Lytechinus pictus: one gene and its partner. Each later gene encodes a partner of the first gene's protein in a complex. Links are inferred from orthologs where the notes say so. Each region holds a gene or a part of one and is shown on either strand. Other genes may lie near its edges. The genes, in order: putative RNA-binding protein 15B and N6-adenosine-methyltransferase catalytic subunit-like.

Region 1 (9,042 bases):
ATAAATTGTTCAAGATATTTTAAGGTGCATTTGACAGGTAGCTAATGGAAATGGGGAGCGTGCATTTGGGAGGGCAATCATTGCAGAATTCCATTTCACCAGTTGCTACAACTTGAAGACATTCCCATTCAACAACTGATCCGGTCATGATGGCCTTGCTACAAAATGAGATGCAAGCTTGTCCATTTTATGAACTGAAAGAGCGCCCATCGATGGCCATTGCAAACCAAGTATTTTGTGTGTTGCTTATCTTTAGAGTGCCAGTTATGCAACAAACAGTAAGAAGTTCTTTCATGAAGAAAAAGTATGCCCAACTCGCATACATGTACTACATTTAGTGTATCCCAAAAAATAATTATGCTGAGAGTAAAAGAGTAAATTACATTGTCATGCATTTAAAATTCAAATTGCGATAATTTAATTAATAGAAAAAAAACTCATTGAATATACATGTTGTCTCATATACGCTGTCTTGATGAAAAGGATATACTGTACAGGGGACTATGAAATATTCCATTTACAATTTCATGAATTTCAGTAGAAATGAACATTACATATTTGATCACAAACTGCAATGGTTATGGTCATCAAATTTTTGTTTTTCACATGTAACTCTAGGATAAAAAATCCCATAGGATCTTAGTTTCACTTTTACTCTATAACAGCCAATGCGAAAAGAGCTGAATAGGCAGATTTCTTTTATTCTGGCTGAGTGTAAAGTCAAGTTCAGGGTAAATATTCAGTATTGTCAAAAATCACTGACCGGATCTGTATTTCTTTTAAGCTAGAAATCATATTAGCAATGATAATGTAACACAGAAATATTATTCAACAAAATAGAAATAGGCTTAAAAAGTTCAAATAACAGTACTGAAAATAAAGTATTATTGAAAAATGATTTTGAATTCACAAAGTAGAATACGTTTTTGATTTCTGTCCTGCCATTTAGGCCATGTTTAGGGGTTGACTCATCGGGATGCAAATATCAGTACAAAGTTACTTCAACATAATAAACAACTTGTTATAATCTACTTCCTAATACTTCATCAATCACACATTTTAAAACAATTGCATAAGATATTTCATCACTAATTACAAAATATACACAATTTTGCCAAGCATTCTTATCTGAAATATGACAAATACAAGTGTGCATGTACATGCATGAAAAGATTCCCAATTGAATGTTAAGAAGTTTTATTTTTTTATTCATTTCTAATTCTATAACTTTACACACTACATACCAAGGCAAATTATTTAGTTAAATTACTCTAAAAACATATTAAAAACCTATGCTGCCCCCTTCACAATGATCACAACAAGATGATCCTCTTTGCAAGGATCTGGGCCTAAACCAGGAGCAATATCAAGAAGGTACTTGTGACTGAATTCACATGGTGGAAAGGCATGAAGGACACCAACGTTATCCTTATTTTGCTCTCCACTAACTGGTAGGCTGATAACTCCAGCAGCTTTCTTCTGCTGAAGGTAAGTAACCAAGTTCACCAAGGCACGTGCCTGGGTTCCAGATGGTAAAGAGTCTGAATCTTCACTTGTTCCAGCGAAAGAAAGCAAAATTGCATGACCACTAGATCCAGCTTGCGAGATTCTTTTGCCCACTTCATCAAGCTTAGGTTGATCTAAACGTAAGCGCTGTGTGATCCTCAAGGCAGACTCATCACTTCCTAAGTCATGTGGCAGCAGAGCTTCAGCAGTGTCTGCATCTCCTCCTACCAAAAACATGCGAGTAGCAAATGCACTGTTCTTCAACACCAAATGACCTCTCCAAGACATTGGTAAGTAATTTAGAAGATCAGACAAGTTATCTAAACTATCTGGAATTCTGGAGCGCCTACTACCTCGCTTTCGACGACGTTCCATGGGTTGACTACCAAAATCCTGGTCAGAAAGATCACTACTTATGGATCGTTGACGGCGTACACGGCCATCTGGTGAAGCATCCCAATCACGCCCATGTGAAGAATCTCTAGGTTTCCTTCGCTCAGGAGACCAATCACCACCAGGGGACCTACGGCGCTTAGATGCTTTCACATTGCTTGGTGACCAGTCATCCCTACCAGCGAAATCATCAGGGGATCCATTTCGCCTTCTACGATTATCACCTCGTTGCATCATTCTTCCTGATTGGTCATTGTCCCTTCGGTTCCAGTTATCATTTTTGTATCGACTACCAGACTGCCAGTTCCCACGACCTCCATCAAAACCTCCTCCCCCTCCTTGCCACTGATCAGATCCATCACGAAATGATGGAGGTGAAATATCTCGACCAATATCTCTGTCTTGATTGTAACGATTGTAGCCTCTGCCACCTGAGCCATCATCATGGTTGGGTGGTCCTTGGTATGGTCTAAACTGCTTTTTAGTTGTCTGGATGCCAGGCCCATGTTCAGCAAAGTCTACCCGAAGTCGTTTGTCTGGTCCTCCTAAAGGAACACCACGCATGTGGCTGGCAGCTGCCTGGGCTGCTTCTACAGTTTCATACTGGACGTACGCAAATGAATCACCTTTAATATAATCAATCTTTCTAATTGCTCCAAAGCGATCAAACTCTCTTTCCAGCACACCCAATGTGATCCAAGGCCCCAAACCTCCAACCCATAGACAATTTGTTGGAGACTGTTTTCCATATCCTGTCTTGCACTGATTCCTCCCAATGTACTGGCCAGACATAGAGATTATTGCCTTATAAGCCATATCCAAATTTTCAAATTTCACAAAAGCAAAAGGATTTCCCTGGCCTCGAGGTGGATACTTGATGTCAATTTCTTCAACAAAGCCATATCTCTCAAAATGCCTTCTTATCTCACTTTCTTGGATACCATCTTCCAAGTTACCACAAAACACTGTACGTGTAGCCTTTGGGTCATCCTCAGGCAAAAATGTTGCATCACGGTCTCTATCACGACCTTGATTTTGGTGATACCCATCATTTCCATAGTTACGGGAATTTGATTCATATCGATTAAAATCTCTATCTCTTCCTCTGCCGCCACCACCACTACTGCCCATATCCTGCCTGTAATTCTTTCCTTGCATTCCACCACGTCTCCCTTGAAAATCATTTTGTCTATTATTCATGTAACCACCATCATGCCCTTGCCCCTGATTATGATTTGTTTTATTTACAATTGCTACAATGTGTAACGGTCTTGCAAACAATGTAAGACGATCACCACGAGCTTGCATTGCATCTCTAGCCTGATCTGGTAGTCTAAATCTCACATAAGCAATCCGCTCATTTTTTGCTTGACTGAACACAACACGCACATTTACTTCACCATATTTCTTAAATTCATGAAAAAGAGCATCTCTAATTGCTGTATCAGAAACATGAGAAGGGAAATTTGTGATTCTTAAACAATCTGGTTCTTTCCTCTGAAAGCCATCACTTTGGAAGTTTTGAGGACGATCATAATTCTGCGGGCGATCATAGTCATCGCGGGGTGGTGGACGCCTATCGCCGCCGGTCCCACGCCTGCCACCGTCATCTCTCTCCATGCTCCTCATTCGCCCTCCCATTTTTGCACCTCCCCTACCATCATACCTGTCACTCCCAGGGCTCATTCTATCTCGATCTGGCATTCGCTGCATTTCAGGACTATCCCTCACCCTCCTCATAGGTTTTCTACCCTGCTGACGATCCATTTGCAGTAAATTTCACAGCAATTCAGAAAGTTAAACTCCTTCCTGTTTCATGCTTTATCAACTACACTGAGCAAATATGGCCGCTTATTCTGCGTTGCATCCGGGTATGTGCGCATAGTCTTATCACCAGACAATGTACACTGTAAAAAAAAATTCTGAATCGGTAATTAACACTTAATATATTTAAGTAGAATATACAATTTGTAATTATTTTTCGTTTTTAAGTAGTTAAGTAGTTTTAACTTGTCTTTTAATTTACTTGATTTATTTGGGTTCAATATACATTTAAGAAAATTCACGTATTGATAGCTTGCTTTGATTGAGTAAATCTAACTCAATTAGGCAAAGATGAGTACTACTTATAAAATCAAGTTGAATGTACTTATATTTTTCAATTAACGCCATATTTTAATAATGCATGAATATTCATTAGAGCAAGTAAATGTTGTTGTTTTTTGTTAATAATTGTCATATCTATTTGTGTCTGAAATTGTTTTGGATAAGGGTGTGCTAACTAATTTAATCTTTTGTTGAATCAAAGAAAGAGCAACATTAAAAGTCATTTAGCAGAAAATTTCAGATTCTTTTTAGGTTTTCGATGCTTATATTATTCTCACTGTTTTATTTGTAAGAATGAAACGATCACATATAATTTCAAAAGATGTACGAACCCAAACACGAAGGGTAAATATGATTTACTATCAGTTTCCATTGAAAACGATTTTTAAAAAATGCCTTTCGCCAGCCATCGCAAGGCATATTTCAGGCAATTCGGTTAGGGGTGAGGGGGCCTTTAGACGAATCCAAACGTAGTCATACGATGTGTGAGAGAGGAGAAAATAAGTAAAACGGATTGGTGAAAGTTTGCAAGGAATCTTACAAGTAATAAGACAGTTATAGTTGTTTTGAAATTAAGATCCCCAAGAAATTTAAAATTGACAACTTGGTTAGTAAATGTTGACAATAATTTTCCATATTCATCAATTCAAATAATTATAACTTACCTCATTTACTTTACCATTTCATGCCTACTCAACTTATTTTCCCTTTTCAGCATTTAAGTTCTGCTCTAATCTTACTTTCTTTATTTCTTTTCATTTTTGTTTTTAAATCCTTCGTGTTTGTTTCCCTTTTCTTTTCTTTTTCTTTTCTTCCCCTGTTCTTCGTTTTTTGTTCTTGTGCTGTTTTATGTTTTGTTACCTCTCTGTCTGTCTTTGTAGACAATTCTACAATAATTATTTAGAGGGGTCCACACACTACAAGCATTTAGTTTGCTTTTGTTGCTTAGTGGATCCCTCCATTTTCTCAGATCTTTATAATGTTTATAATAATTGTTTTTATATAATACTTTGTTTTACTTATGGTAAAATATCGCATATTGTACATATACCTCAATGTAAATTGTTTGTATAAGTTTCATTTGCAAATGTCATTGTAATAATTTATGACCATTTTATTTCTGTTGAAAATCGAATAAAACCAAATTTGAAAAAAGGGAAAAATCGGGGATTTGTGGTTTACAAAATTACTGAAACTTCCGTCCATAGGAACATTCCCTCCCTAAAATAGTATTCTAAAAAAGCACTTCGAGCTGCCAACCCGGGGAGAATATTCTTTGAATGAAAATAATCCTGCCCCCCCCCCCCATTAGCAGAAGACGCCTGCAGTGTAGAGAACCTGTGTAGTTACTCGCATATCAACTTTATGATTAGTCGGCAGACCTTTATACTTTATACTGTTTTAAAGTATTCTTTTATTGCTTCTTCCAGTGAATACAAACACAAACTGATAAATTTCATAACTTCATAAATGATACATCATAATAGCTTCAGCTCCATCAAAGAACCAGTAAATAAGTAAAATTCATAAACATAAATTCACAAATTAATCCATTCATTTTCCAATTCACTTGAAGAAATTAAGAAGTATAAGACAGAAAAAAAAGAATAATAAACACTCCCGCACATCCCACACACAAAAATAATAAATCCTTGTCCTTCAGGTCCCCTCCTTCCCCACCCGCCCTCCCCCGGCCGCTAAAATCTATACCCCCCCCTTACGAAATCCTGGATCTGCCCCTGCCCTATATAGATACTGACCTTCGCATGTATGCATGCACGTTATCGATTATCTTGTTTCCTTCCTAATGTAATTTTGAAACGTCCTTCGTTTGATTGTTTTAACCAATTAGTGCGCCTATAACCTATTTCTCACCTTTCCAATATTTAAAAAATACAGCAACCCCCCCCCCCCACCCCCGGTGGACCGGAGAGGGGATAATATATCACCTCATTATCAGAGTGTGTTGCGAATGATACATGTAATTCTGGCATAACAAAGGATATACATATATAGATATATGCATATTGTCCTCAATAGTTGGTTTGGATTTTGGAGGGCTCAACAATTGAATGTAACAAAGCAGAAGAAAACGCAATTACCCCATGGAAGGGGGGGGCTCTCAATTAAGATGTACATGTACTTATGTGTTATCTGACTCCATTATTTTTCCATCGTAGAACACCCCAGGATCTTATTCACGAATGTACCAGACGTTAAAATTAAAGCACAACATGCAGCCTACAGTTTGAATTTTAAGAAAGGAAATTAGATAGTGTAAAATAATGTGCATTTCTTTCTTGTTTATTCTGTATGGCGTATATACGGCCTTCAAAATATTCTCTGTTTCTTTTATTTTATTTCCTTCGTCACTACTTTCTTCCGTTATTCCCAAATCTTCCCACCACCCAATAAAACTTAGCAAGTTAATCTATAAGGGTAGTATACCCAGAAAAATGTTATGGTATAGACCAATAAAAACTCGCACATAATATATAAATCTTTAATTTGCCATACATACAGTTTTTGAAGAAAATTTTAATTCCTTTTTATCAGGATTCTTACCAAAGTCTATGCGGGGGAAACTTTTGCAGCCAAACACAACAAAAAAGCAGCTCTCCTTTTTATAAAATATCTTTTTAATGAATCAAGATTGATCAATACAATTTGGCAGGAGTGCTTCATTTGCTAACTTGTGCCAAGAAATCTAATTGTCAAATCAAACATGAGTGAGCATGCATTATCGATCAAATTATTACTTTTTCAAAAATAACAGGGGTAATTTCTAATGCCAAAATTGAACATTTAAACAATAAAATATTTGATTATCTTACATCATGGTTGTAACCTTATCATGTTCATATGAAAATATAAACTATTTTGAAAATGATTTATTCATTTATTTAGTAATTTATTTGTCAATTTATTTACTTTCTTCATTTAAAATGCAAAATTTCAGAAAAGTTGGACATTATTTATTAACACACTTACTCATCTATCCACCTCTTACCCCCCCCTCTCTCTCTCTCTCTCACACACACACATATCACAATTTCCCCCTCTCTCTCTAAATATTTTATTTTCTCTACCGCACCCCTCCCTTTCTCAATTACTCATTCTCTTTCTTCCAGATCAGCTCCCCAGAAAATGGTCTTCTCCGTCTACCACATCTATTGTATGATAGCCTTTTGACAAGGCTCCACGGACATAAATGTGTTTTCACCATTGCACAACAATAAAAAAAAATAAAAGAGTTTTCTGCGGAAAATGTTCTCAAAAGAAGTAGATGAAATTAATCTGATTGTGTGGTTGGGTATTTATGAACTATACGGTTTTTGATAAAGATATCATGAAACACGGAGGGTAAAGGACCAGAATTCTAGGCATAAATTCACCAAGTTGAACTAAAAATAGATTTTTAAGATGTTATGTTCGAAGAATAGTGAGTCATTATGGGCGCATATATATGTGCCTTGCAAGAGAACTCTCTTTTGTAGTAATTAAATCCTTTCAACGAATGTTTGGTGTGAGCTGCCCCAAGCAAGAAGGCTGAAGTTCAAATATGGTAAAATAAGGGATGAGTAGAGCATGAATACAAAAGTGATTGTGGTTGATGTGATTTAAGTTTGTTGATTATACCGATAATGCGAGAGATTATTTTACAGATATTTTGAAGGTGTAATTTCCAGAAAAGTTTATTGTCTACTGAAACACAGATAAAATAAGTATGAGATACTTGTTTTAAAGGGGGTATTGTCAAAAATAATATCAGTGGGTAATAGGGAGTTACTAAACAAAAATATAATTCGTCTTCAGAAGATTAAGTGATATTAGCCCTTATCCGCTGTAATATGTTCCGTAACTGCATTAACAACATTAAAAAGAACATTGGGATAATTGTATAAAAAAATAAATTAGTATCATCTGCAAATGAAATGAATGACAAAAATTAAGTAGACCTATCATAATGGTAATCGTTTACATAAAGAACAGTGGCGGATCCAGAATCACAGGGGGCGCCCCCCCCCCCCTAATATAAAATCTAAATCGGCGCCGGACAAGAATAATCAGCGCCATTTGGTTATAAATCAGCGCCTGGTTCCAATAAATAGGCGCCGTTAGAATAATGAAGAAGGGCCTATTGCCAACCAAATCTAGATCGGCGCCGGTCAAGAATGATCAGCGGCACCTGGTTATACATTTATTGTTGAATGTTCATAACGAATAACAAAGCTTATCGCATGCCCTTACAGAGTGGACTGGGGAGGGGCAGTTGCCCACAGATGTCATGAAATCTTTAATTTGTTATTTAAAAAATCCCAGAATCATACAAAAGTGTAGAGCAAATCCTTTAATTTTGATCTTATATTCCAATGCTTTAATAAAAAAAAGGTCAGTCACTTTTCTTCTTTACACATTCCACATTGTGCCACCTCTATGGCCTTTAGTGTAAGACAGCTACTATCATGACTATAGTGTTTTATGAAGATGATTCGATATTTTAGTCCAAAACTTTGCTAAAACCCGTTGCTAATACCGGGAGTGTATAATTACGCAACCAGACGTATATTCGTTAGACCTTAAACCACTAAATATCATTTTCAATGTATAAATACAGTTTGTCAATGCCTTTGTTTTAACGTTTAAATGTTTACGCCACAAAATTTGATCTATTTTCATCTTCCATTAAGTTAAATATTATTCATCTGATCGCTCAGGAAGAAGTTAAACAAAAAATAAAGATACCTGTAGAACTGGAGAACTATTTCCAAAGCTCTGTCTTGAAGGATCTCTTTCTGAATTCAGGTCATAAGCATTATATCCAGTTTCATCAAAGCAATTAGATAAAAATTACTCATCATTACAAATTGCATTATATTTAGTGAAAAGCATCACAATATATATATATAAATACCAAATCTGTATATAGGCCTATACATCATGTACATGAAAATTGAATGATAATATATAAACCTGGATTGGTGATGTATTCCAAATGATTCATGATGTAGTATCATTGTAAATACAGAGGCGTCG
Region 2 (9,049 bases), on another chromosome or scaffold:
AGATTTCTAGATCAAACAGTAGACTAGATCAGCCAGTCCTAACGTTAGGGCTACCGGATAGGCTAGAAATAAAATCTAGAATGAATAGAAGAAAGCACAGGCTAGGCCGCCTAGGCCCTAGATCTAAATTCTTATATAAATCTAGGCCCTAGTCTAGACTGAGCTGTTGCCAGTGTTGGTCTAGGTTTAGGCCTGTTTTCTAGTCCTGGAAACCTAGATCTAAACAAGTCCTCAAATTCAAAATGTATAAAATAAAAACTCCAAACAAACAGATGGACCTAAAGCAGGAGAAGATCTAGATAGATGTCTAGACTACTACTAGGACTAGATCTAACTTTAGGCATAGGCCTAGTTGGCAAGCAATGCATAGCGATATATCTAGCACTGTTGACAGGAATAACCGTCGTTTCTGGGGATTTATTTAAAAGTTTCTGACATTTACTGTCATATCACATTGGTGAGACTAGGCCAACGTAACGTTAGACTGTTTAGTGTCGTACTCGTAATACTAAAATAGCGGAACAACCAAAATACAGTCGGAGACTGAAGCTTTTGGTCTAGGCCTAAGTCAGATCTATTCTAGACCTACATGTAAATCTAGATAGATCTATCCCTGTCTTAAGGCTAAGCCAGGCTAAGTCCTGCATGTTCTAGGCCTAGACCAATACTAATATAGGTCTATCGTTAGATCTAGGCCTAGTATGTAGCTTCAGTCTCAGTTGCTCCACTACGGCACTAGACTAACAAAGTTACGTTTTGGCTTTTGCTTCAGCCTTCAGGAAAGTAAAAAGTAAAAACAATGTTCAATTCTCCTCCAAACAGACGGATATTAGTTGTAGATCTTGGGCCTAGGCTAGATCTAGGCCTAATGTTAGACCCAAGACTAGTCTCAAAAGTTACAAATGTTTTCCCTTAGACCCTAGGTCTACTTCAACTGAAGTAGAATAAAGATGTCGAGAGGAATCTACCCTATCCCATTTAGATTTTGACAAACAATACATGAAAAGTAATGAATGGGACTGATACATAAAAAACTGTGCAAGTCACTCGGTTTGGGATTGAAATGTTTTGGTAATTAACAAAATATAGAATAATCTGAATAAAGAATTCTTACCATATATGGGTGATGAATGCTCTTCTTTTACTACAATGGTTGTAATTAGTTTCAATAAAATCAAACTTGTTAAGAAAAAACAACTTCAATGACATTTTTGCTATTTTGTTGCAGTCACCCCTGCAGCAGTTTAGAAGGTCATAGAATTTGACTTTGAGACTTTGGCTTAGCCATATCGTCTGACTTGAGACAAATGTCTTAAAGTTTATAGAATATCGTTAGGGAAGATTTCTTAGACAAGCAATATGCTAAGACAAATTGCTAAGACTTAAGCAAAAAGCTTATCTCGTTTATGGAATACGGGCCCAGCTGCCTGTGATTTTTTTTGGGGGGCAGCAATTGTTGTATATTTGGAGACCAATGAACATTTATTCAATGAATAACAAGTTATATATTGATAAAACAAACATAAATTTACAGTGTAAAGTTCACACATAGGCTATGCCATTTTAAAATGGATACATTATTTTTTAAATAATAAATTCTCTTATTTCTTATCTATGACAATGCATATCAGTAAATAGTTAAGTATACATGATCAGAAAATTTATTCATTTAGAAAAATGAAATATGTGTGAAGCAAAGGAACTGAGCTTGAGAGTATCTCAAATACATGTCCATTAAAAATAAATTATAGATGAATCAAAATTCAAATGGATGCAAAGAAATATTAACCTGCTCCACGGAGAATGACTTCTTGCTTGAAGAATGGAATTTTCCATGTGTAATGGATGGTTCTTCTGTGATCTCCGGAGCCTCGTGTTTCAGTCCAGTGAGTGTAGGACTTGCCTTTGCATATTACCTTAATACCTGCATGTAGTCATGAGAGAGACAGAGAGAAAAGGGGAGGAGAAAGAGAAAAGGGGAGCGAGGAAAATTGTAACTCTATCACTTTTTATTTCCATGAATGAAGTTTTTGTCAATTCCGCTGGTTACATATATATGCTCTGTAGGTATACCAGAATATGCAAAGCAAAGTATTCATTAATTCTTGTTTAATGCATAAACCTAGTAACAGTTAGGTCTTTCCTTTCTGCAAAATTTTCATTCTGTGATTGGCCTTTAGGCTTAAAAAAAAATACTCATCACTATATTTGCATTAGGAACATGTGTACTACCATGGATGGAGTAAGAATTGCACATTGGTGAAGATGCGCCGGCATGATGCAATTATTCTTTTTTAAACTTAGATCCATTTCCGGGGATCCATTTGTATTTTCAAGGGAAGGATTCAGCAATCAGTCATATTATAAGTTGGATATTTGTAATCATATTGGTCATGTTTTTGGACTGGAGCAAAAATGAAGTCAGATAAGTGCAGACTTTGTTCTTTATATTAAACTAAGTCAAAATTAAGGCATACCCCGTTACTAAGAGTTGATTGGGTTAAGAACTTTATCTTGATGTCCTGCTCCAGGGGTGGTATTGAGGTATTCTGAGGTAATTTTATCTTTAAAATATTTCATTTTGTCTTCAAAAATGAAATTGGTTTTCTGAGATGACATTTTATCTCTCAGATAAAATATGAAATTTTAGCAAACTTAACTTCATTAGATCTACATATCTAAAGATTATACGCGACAGAGCAGAGCCTACATAGAAATATCCATCGCGTATCTAGCCATTGCTACGCAGATGATGTGCGTGTACCCACGTTACTTTGAAGAAGAAACTTAAAAAGAAACTTAAAATAGGGTGGGGCCTCTTTTATCTCTGCGTCGTCCAATCCAGCATGGTTTCTAAGTGAATTAGCTCTAAAAGCTTGAAGACAAATTTGAAAGAAAAATTATATCATTGAGAGTAATAGTATAATACCTGAACATTACTCCTGTATGATAAGGAATTATTTCATAATATTTTCTGGACTAATAATTGTCTCTAAAATGATGCTGGTGATGATGCGATATTGACATTGGGACTCTGTGAGTATTGTCATATTTTTAAAAGAAATCTCTGTAAAAATGCCCTAGCGCATAGTGCAAGCGTATTTGAATTCAATAAATTGACATAATCTTGCTCCTTTGCCATACCTCCTGGCGGAATGGATATCAATGATTAGTTGAGTGAGATGAAAGTGCTATAATTATAAAACAATTGATGTTTCTCACTTTCTCATTGGATATTACTTCAAAAATAGACATGATAGATGTGTCTTACAGAGATTAAATGAAGATAAACTGGTTCTCAGAATACCAATTTGGAGAGATTTTATGGATATTTTATCACACTCATTTTAACGAAGATAAAATATTTTATTTTATCTGACTCTGAGATAAAATGGATATTAGAATTCAGAATACCACCCCTGGGCCCCAGTACAGTACCACTACAGAGCTCTGCTGACGCTGGACCCCAGGAAATGCGGACCTCTTTGTTGAGGTCCTGGGGACGATTCCACGAAAGGGTCTTTGCCAGAACGGCATTATCCTGGTTTAAGTAACCACTCCATCTCCCATTGACTATGTACACAAAGAGCGCACACACACACTGACACACACAAGAAGAGAGGTGACTTATTTCAAGATAAGGCTGCAAGAACCGTCTTCCGTGTCGCCCATTTATGATGCGCCATGTGAAACGCATCTTAAATAAATTATGATGGTCACCGTGGTCCCTATAAGTCTGCGCACCTAGCTACCGGTATATGAGTTAAGATTTAACACGAATTTCTTTCTATTTCACAAAATCTTTCAGTTAGCCGGTAATGATGTTCCTGATATTATATTAGGAGTATTAAAGTGTGCCAAATATCTCATAAAAATTTGAAAGAATATATAGGATTTTCTTGGAGAAATCAGAATGAAAAAAAAAATGGTACCCCATGTCTGCGCACCCCTTCACTTTGCACACCATTCGGGGATTTTGATGACAAAGGCTGCATTTTAAGGCCGTCACATGAAATGCCCAAAATTCATTATTTTTCCAATATTTTGAGTCGGATTGTTTGATGAATATCTGTCTATGTATTGCATTTGTAAAGTCTGTGTTCGTTGCGTATCTTCTTTTACTAGAATTGCGCAGATAAGCATGTGCGCAGACAAGGGGGACTGCATGCGCAGACTTGGGGGAACTTGCCATACCTGCAAACATATTTTATTCATCCGATAAAGTAAACAAAAATAATAATCTTTGTTTATGAAATGATGTGATATATCTTGAAATTGTATACAAATTGATTTAAATGCTATCTCACAAATTTTATTTGTTTATCATACATTTAAGAAATATGCCGCATACAGCGGCCTTGACCTTGGTCTTGGAAAGACCCTTTCGTGCAATCGGCCCCTGATGATCTGATCTGACATGCATACCGCAGTATGGTTGGAACTACCCCTTATCGACCATCTAATCTTCTAAGCATCGTATCTGCGATCAATTTTACCCAGTTTTCGTCTCATTTGTGCAGAAAATTGAGCAGATCAGATTCCCATGTTTCGCTCGGCGACTCCGATTCAATCCGCGTATATATCGACGAACAACGAATACGACGATTTTACATTTGCTCATTTGCACCCGTCTTTTGAAACCGACCACCCGCGGTACATTGAGTTTACGACCGATTCTTGTCGCGGTGGCAAAATATTTTTACTCTTCCAAATCAGTTCTATGATGTCAACATGCTAAATGATCGTCTCACTACTTCCACTGCGAGCTCCGACACATGATTGAACGATTGACGACGGATATTTGTTCTAGAGCCGTTTCCTATTGGATTTCTTGGTTTTTCAGCGGGGTTTAATTGGGTCTGGTCAATACAATTTTGATTAATTCTACTAAATTTTTACTTCTTGTTGCTTCTTTTTTTCTCGTAAAATCAATTCTTACCGTTTCTATGGACACTGCGCCTACTCTCCCGTGCGTATCGTTAGTAATACGCAATAATTTTAACGTGCGCAAGGTGGTCGGTTTCAAAAGAGGTGGTCGATATGTGGTAGTCTCACCATACCCCTGTTGACCAAGCCATACCCTTAGTTCCAAGGCAATTGGCAATTCCTCCTACTTTAGTAGGATGGGGGGTCGGGTGTCCGGACACTTTATCTTTTTGAAGCCTTCTTTTTTGTCTTTGGATTACACTAAAAATATGAATTCAATACTTGTAATCATCTTCTGTTTTGTTCTTTATAATATTTCCTAACGTTTTGTACTAAAAATTGATGAAACTTCGCTTGTAATTTTTTCCAAATGACTTTCTAAAATTGATCGTCCGGACACACAACCTGTCCGGACACACAACCTGTCCGGACACACAACAACTGGGTATACTTACCTCGAATGTCTCCCTTTTCTCCCGTCAAAACTATCCTTGCGTGTCCCTGGATGGTATCCCCTGGTTTGAACACTTCATTGCTACCTTCGAAAACAACCTCAAATACCTGCAATTTACCCATTATTGAGTAGGTCTAGCTAGACCAAAGTCAAAGACAAAATGATTTGTTGACGATAGAGATCGCGTCACGGCCACACCCAAGGTGGTTCCCCATGTTCCTCTCGATCTCGCGCTCGATCCGATCCGCACTCGCGCCGCGGTGCCGCTCTATCCCTCTCTTCAAGCCGTGCATGCGCAATGCAATTCTTATGCAGATATCACGATTCTGTGATCGCAGCTATTGAAATTACATGTGAGCTGAATTCCCAACTGAGGATTAGACTGTTGTTGAATGGCAATACTGTGATCATATTCCTCTTATTGTAACACTTTATCGCCAATCAAGGACAATGGCTAGTACTTTGGAGGCTCTTAAGAAAAAGAGAGAAGATTTAAAGGCCAAGTTGATGCGAAGGAAGGAAATTACAACAGGAATAACTGGTGAGTTGGAAAGGACTGCCATGACTGTAGTCCCATAAGTTGAAAATTATGTAAGGCGGCATACCGTAGATTATTCTGATATTGATTTTAATTTAATACATACATTTTATCACAAAAATATATTTTCCTCCCAAGGTTATGTGACTCAAGAGTCAAGATGGTTGATTGTTCGATCATGTTTCATCATTTGGAAACTGGATTCGCTTTTGAAAGTGAAATATCAATGTTCTTTTGTAGAAAAAAATGGAATTGGAAACTTTTCAATCATGTTTCATTATTTTGCTTTTGAAAGGGGAATATCATAACGTTAAATGTCGACTTTTTAATTAAAATGCAAAAATTATGTTGCACTTGCAGGGCTGCCAACTTTTGAGTAGCATGGCATTGCATTGACACTCGATCGCTTGTTGTGCCTCGCACAAAAACCCCGCTTCATAGTAAAATTTCGACGTCACCAGCTCTCATATACTAATATAGTCATACACGGGATACAGTAAGCCAATCGCAACTCAATGTCTTGTCTTTGCGCAGCAAACCGAAACCAATTCGCATTGATGGTTTAGCTTTGCGCTTGTGTGGTTAAAAACTTTGAAACTTTTGCCTGTCCGGGTTATAATGTTATTGAATATCCGATATAGGCTAATAAACTTTTTTCTCTCTATTTTCGGGGTTCAGCGTGAGAATCGGGTGAATTGTGTGAGACTCACGCAGATTGCGTGAGAGTTGGCAGCCCTGTGTTGTTTAATTTTTTCACTCTTGAAAGAAAATGCATGAAAACTCAGAGGAAAGAATATTTCATTTCCACATGACTGTATGAGCTTGGATTTAGATAAAGAAAACAAGTCCACACTGTAGTGGTTTCTAATGCCTCTGTATTGATATGTCCTTTTTCAATTATATTCGTCAGAGAACAAACCAGTTTCACTCAAGTTGGAAGTATCAAGTTCACCTATTCCACCTGATAGTGTGCCTGCACAGAGTAGTAGTACATGTACCTCATCAATACAAACAGGAATAAAACAAGAAGATGGATCAGCTCCAGTTCCTATTCCAAAGGTATTCTACAGTTGGTCAAGAAGGTTTAGAATTTATGGTAGTATACTGAATAGTGTTCTCATCGTTTATCGTATCATTTATAATCTTGGAAGTCAGCAGCAATTTCCTAGTCCCAATTTACTTGACTGAGTCAGAGCAGACATGGTTATCTATTTTTACCATTTGCAGTAAAATTGATTGTAGACATAGTCAGATTTTGCTGACATTGCATATTTGTAATGTTTGATGTATTTTCTAATGCAATACCTGACTATTCCCAATGTACTACCACAATAAATTTTTATGAAGTGGCCCTAGAGGCCAAAATCAATGAAAAATGTATTTGAACAAGACAGTCAAATATTGATAACTCTCAGAATAAATTCAGTCTTGCTTGATTCCTAAGATAATGTACTACCATAGTCTAAAAATTCTTTACCCTTAATTATATTTTAACCATCCAATATTGCCTTTAAACAAAGGAAATGTATGATTACTGCTGTAGATGTTGAATAGGCCCGATAGATATATTTAAGGAAAAAATGGTGTTCTTGTCAAACACAGCTCATAAGATTGGTTGAGTTTGTTGTTTTACTCTTTACACACCAAACATCAAATCAGTTTGTGTATTTTCCTTCTGTGCAATCAGAGACTTTGGAGGCATAGACTCAAACACAACTTACATTGCAGCGAACATTTCTGTATAAATGACAAAAATCCATTTTGCAGATATAATTGCCCCTATGCAAGATGCTTTACTTGGTTTATGGTGTAGAACTGGCCCTGGATAGATCACTAAAATATATTTTCTAGATATTTGTCAAGTTTCTGTCAATTTCTTTTTTAAATTGCCCATATGCAAGATGCTTTACTTGGTTTATAGTGTAGTACTGGCCCTGAATAGATCACTAAAAGATATTTTGTAGATATTTGTCAATTTTTTGTCAATTTTTATTGAAAAAACCCCATTCTTTTGCTATAGCTTCTTGCGGTAGATACAAATGATAATATAAAAGCTGATAATGTAAAGAATAATTGTTTTTCTTTATGGTGGTGTTTTTCTGTAGAGCATTGCTGTAGTTGTTTGATAGGAATAAATCATAAAATCATGCATTTTAACACAAGGTACATGACATCCCTTATAGATGAAGTATATATATTTTGTAGATGAGAGGATACAGAAATTGCTGAGAAGATAAAAATATAATGTGACTCATAAAAAAATGATCATGTTTCAGAGATAAATCGCTTGAAAAAAATATTACTTCAAAAAGAAGGGCACTTGTCTGAAAATGAGGGACACATTGCAAAATTTATGGCAAAGGGGGATGCCACCTGTGCCCCATGACCCACAAATTACTGATAGTGTACATGTAGGTCTTTCAGTAAGAATACACTTGTTCCTTTGATTTTTATCCATTTTTTATTCAAACATGTGTTGTAAACTTACAATTGCATTGTAATGATCATACGCATATTTCTTAGAAAATTTTTCCTCAGTTACACTACTGTTTCAGGATTTTATATTATCTTGTAAATGTTAGAAAATATAGATTTTTCCAGGTCAATGAAATACTGTATTTACAGGTTTAAGAACCTGTGTTACTTATCTTTTTTCTTTATTTTTCTGCCCTCCAAAGTATGTCGCTGATCAGTTTACTATTCATTTCATTTTTTCTTCTTAATTTACCAGAGTACTGTACCTGCAGGAAGTCAAGGTATCTCTGATGGGACTGAATCCAGGAAAAGAAAGAGAGAAGAGTAAGTCATAAAAGGAAAAGATTTAATGAATCCACTCTGAACATGAAGCATCACTTCAGTTCAATGAGTAGAGAAATGCAGTACCCTATTGACTTTTCAGTGGTTAAAGTAGGATCTATCAATTATATTCTGTTTACCCTATTTTAAGAAGTCCAAACAAATATTTTCATTACCTCTACCGCTATGATACTGTGCATCAGATCTGTGCCCAAACCAATTAATTTTATAAGGATAAAATTTACAGCTCAGTTTTTTTTTTTATTATATAACTACTATTTGATAACAATTTTGATGTAAATTTTCAAGTCTTTGATCTGTGTCTAAGAACAGGG

What was found.
Region 2: putative RNA-binding protein 15B (region 1) and N6-adenosine-methyltransferase catalytic subunit-like share a complex: the UniProt entries of both Drosophila melanogaster proteins name them as parts of the WMM complex. The link is inferred for Lytechinus pictus from reciprocal best matches to the Drosophila melanogaster genes nito and Mettl3.

Annotation. Positions count from the first base shown.
Region 1 is NC_087247.1:53,157,886-53,166,927, forward strand, and holds the start of putative RNA-binding protein 15B, read right to left. Parts: upstream 3,783-9,042; 5' UTR 3,667-3,782; coding exon 1,291-3,666; 3' UTR 1-1,290. UniProt on the Drosophila melanogaster protein: RNA-binding protein that acts as an associated component of the WMM complex, a complex that mediates N6-methyladenosine (m6A) methylation of mRNAs. M6a modification plays a role in the efficiency of mRNA splicing and is required for sex determination.
Region 2 is NC_087246.1:25,855,970-25,865,018, forward strand, and holds the start of N6-adenosine-methyltransferase catalytic subunit-like, read left to right. Parts: upstream 1-5,358; 5' UTR 5,359-5,381; coding exon of another isoform or gene 5,382-5,502; 5' UTR 5,503-5,830; coding exon 5,831-5,921; exon of another isoform or gene 5,922-6,020; intron 6,021-6,828; coding exon 6,829-6,977; intron 6,978-8,649; coding exon 8,650-8,717; intron 8,718-9,049. Other genes in the region: arrestin domain-containing protein 3-like, read right to left, coding at 1,790-1,924, 5,382-5,502. UniProt on the Drosophila melanogaster protein: Catalytic component of the WMM complex, a complex that mediates N6-methyladenosine (m6A) methylation of mRNAs, a modification that plays a role in the efficiency of mRNA splicing and is required for sex determination.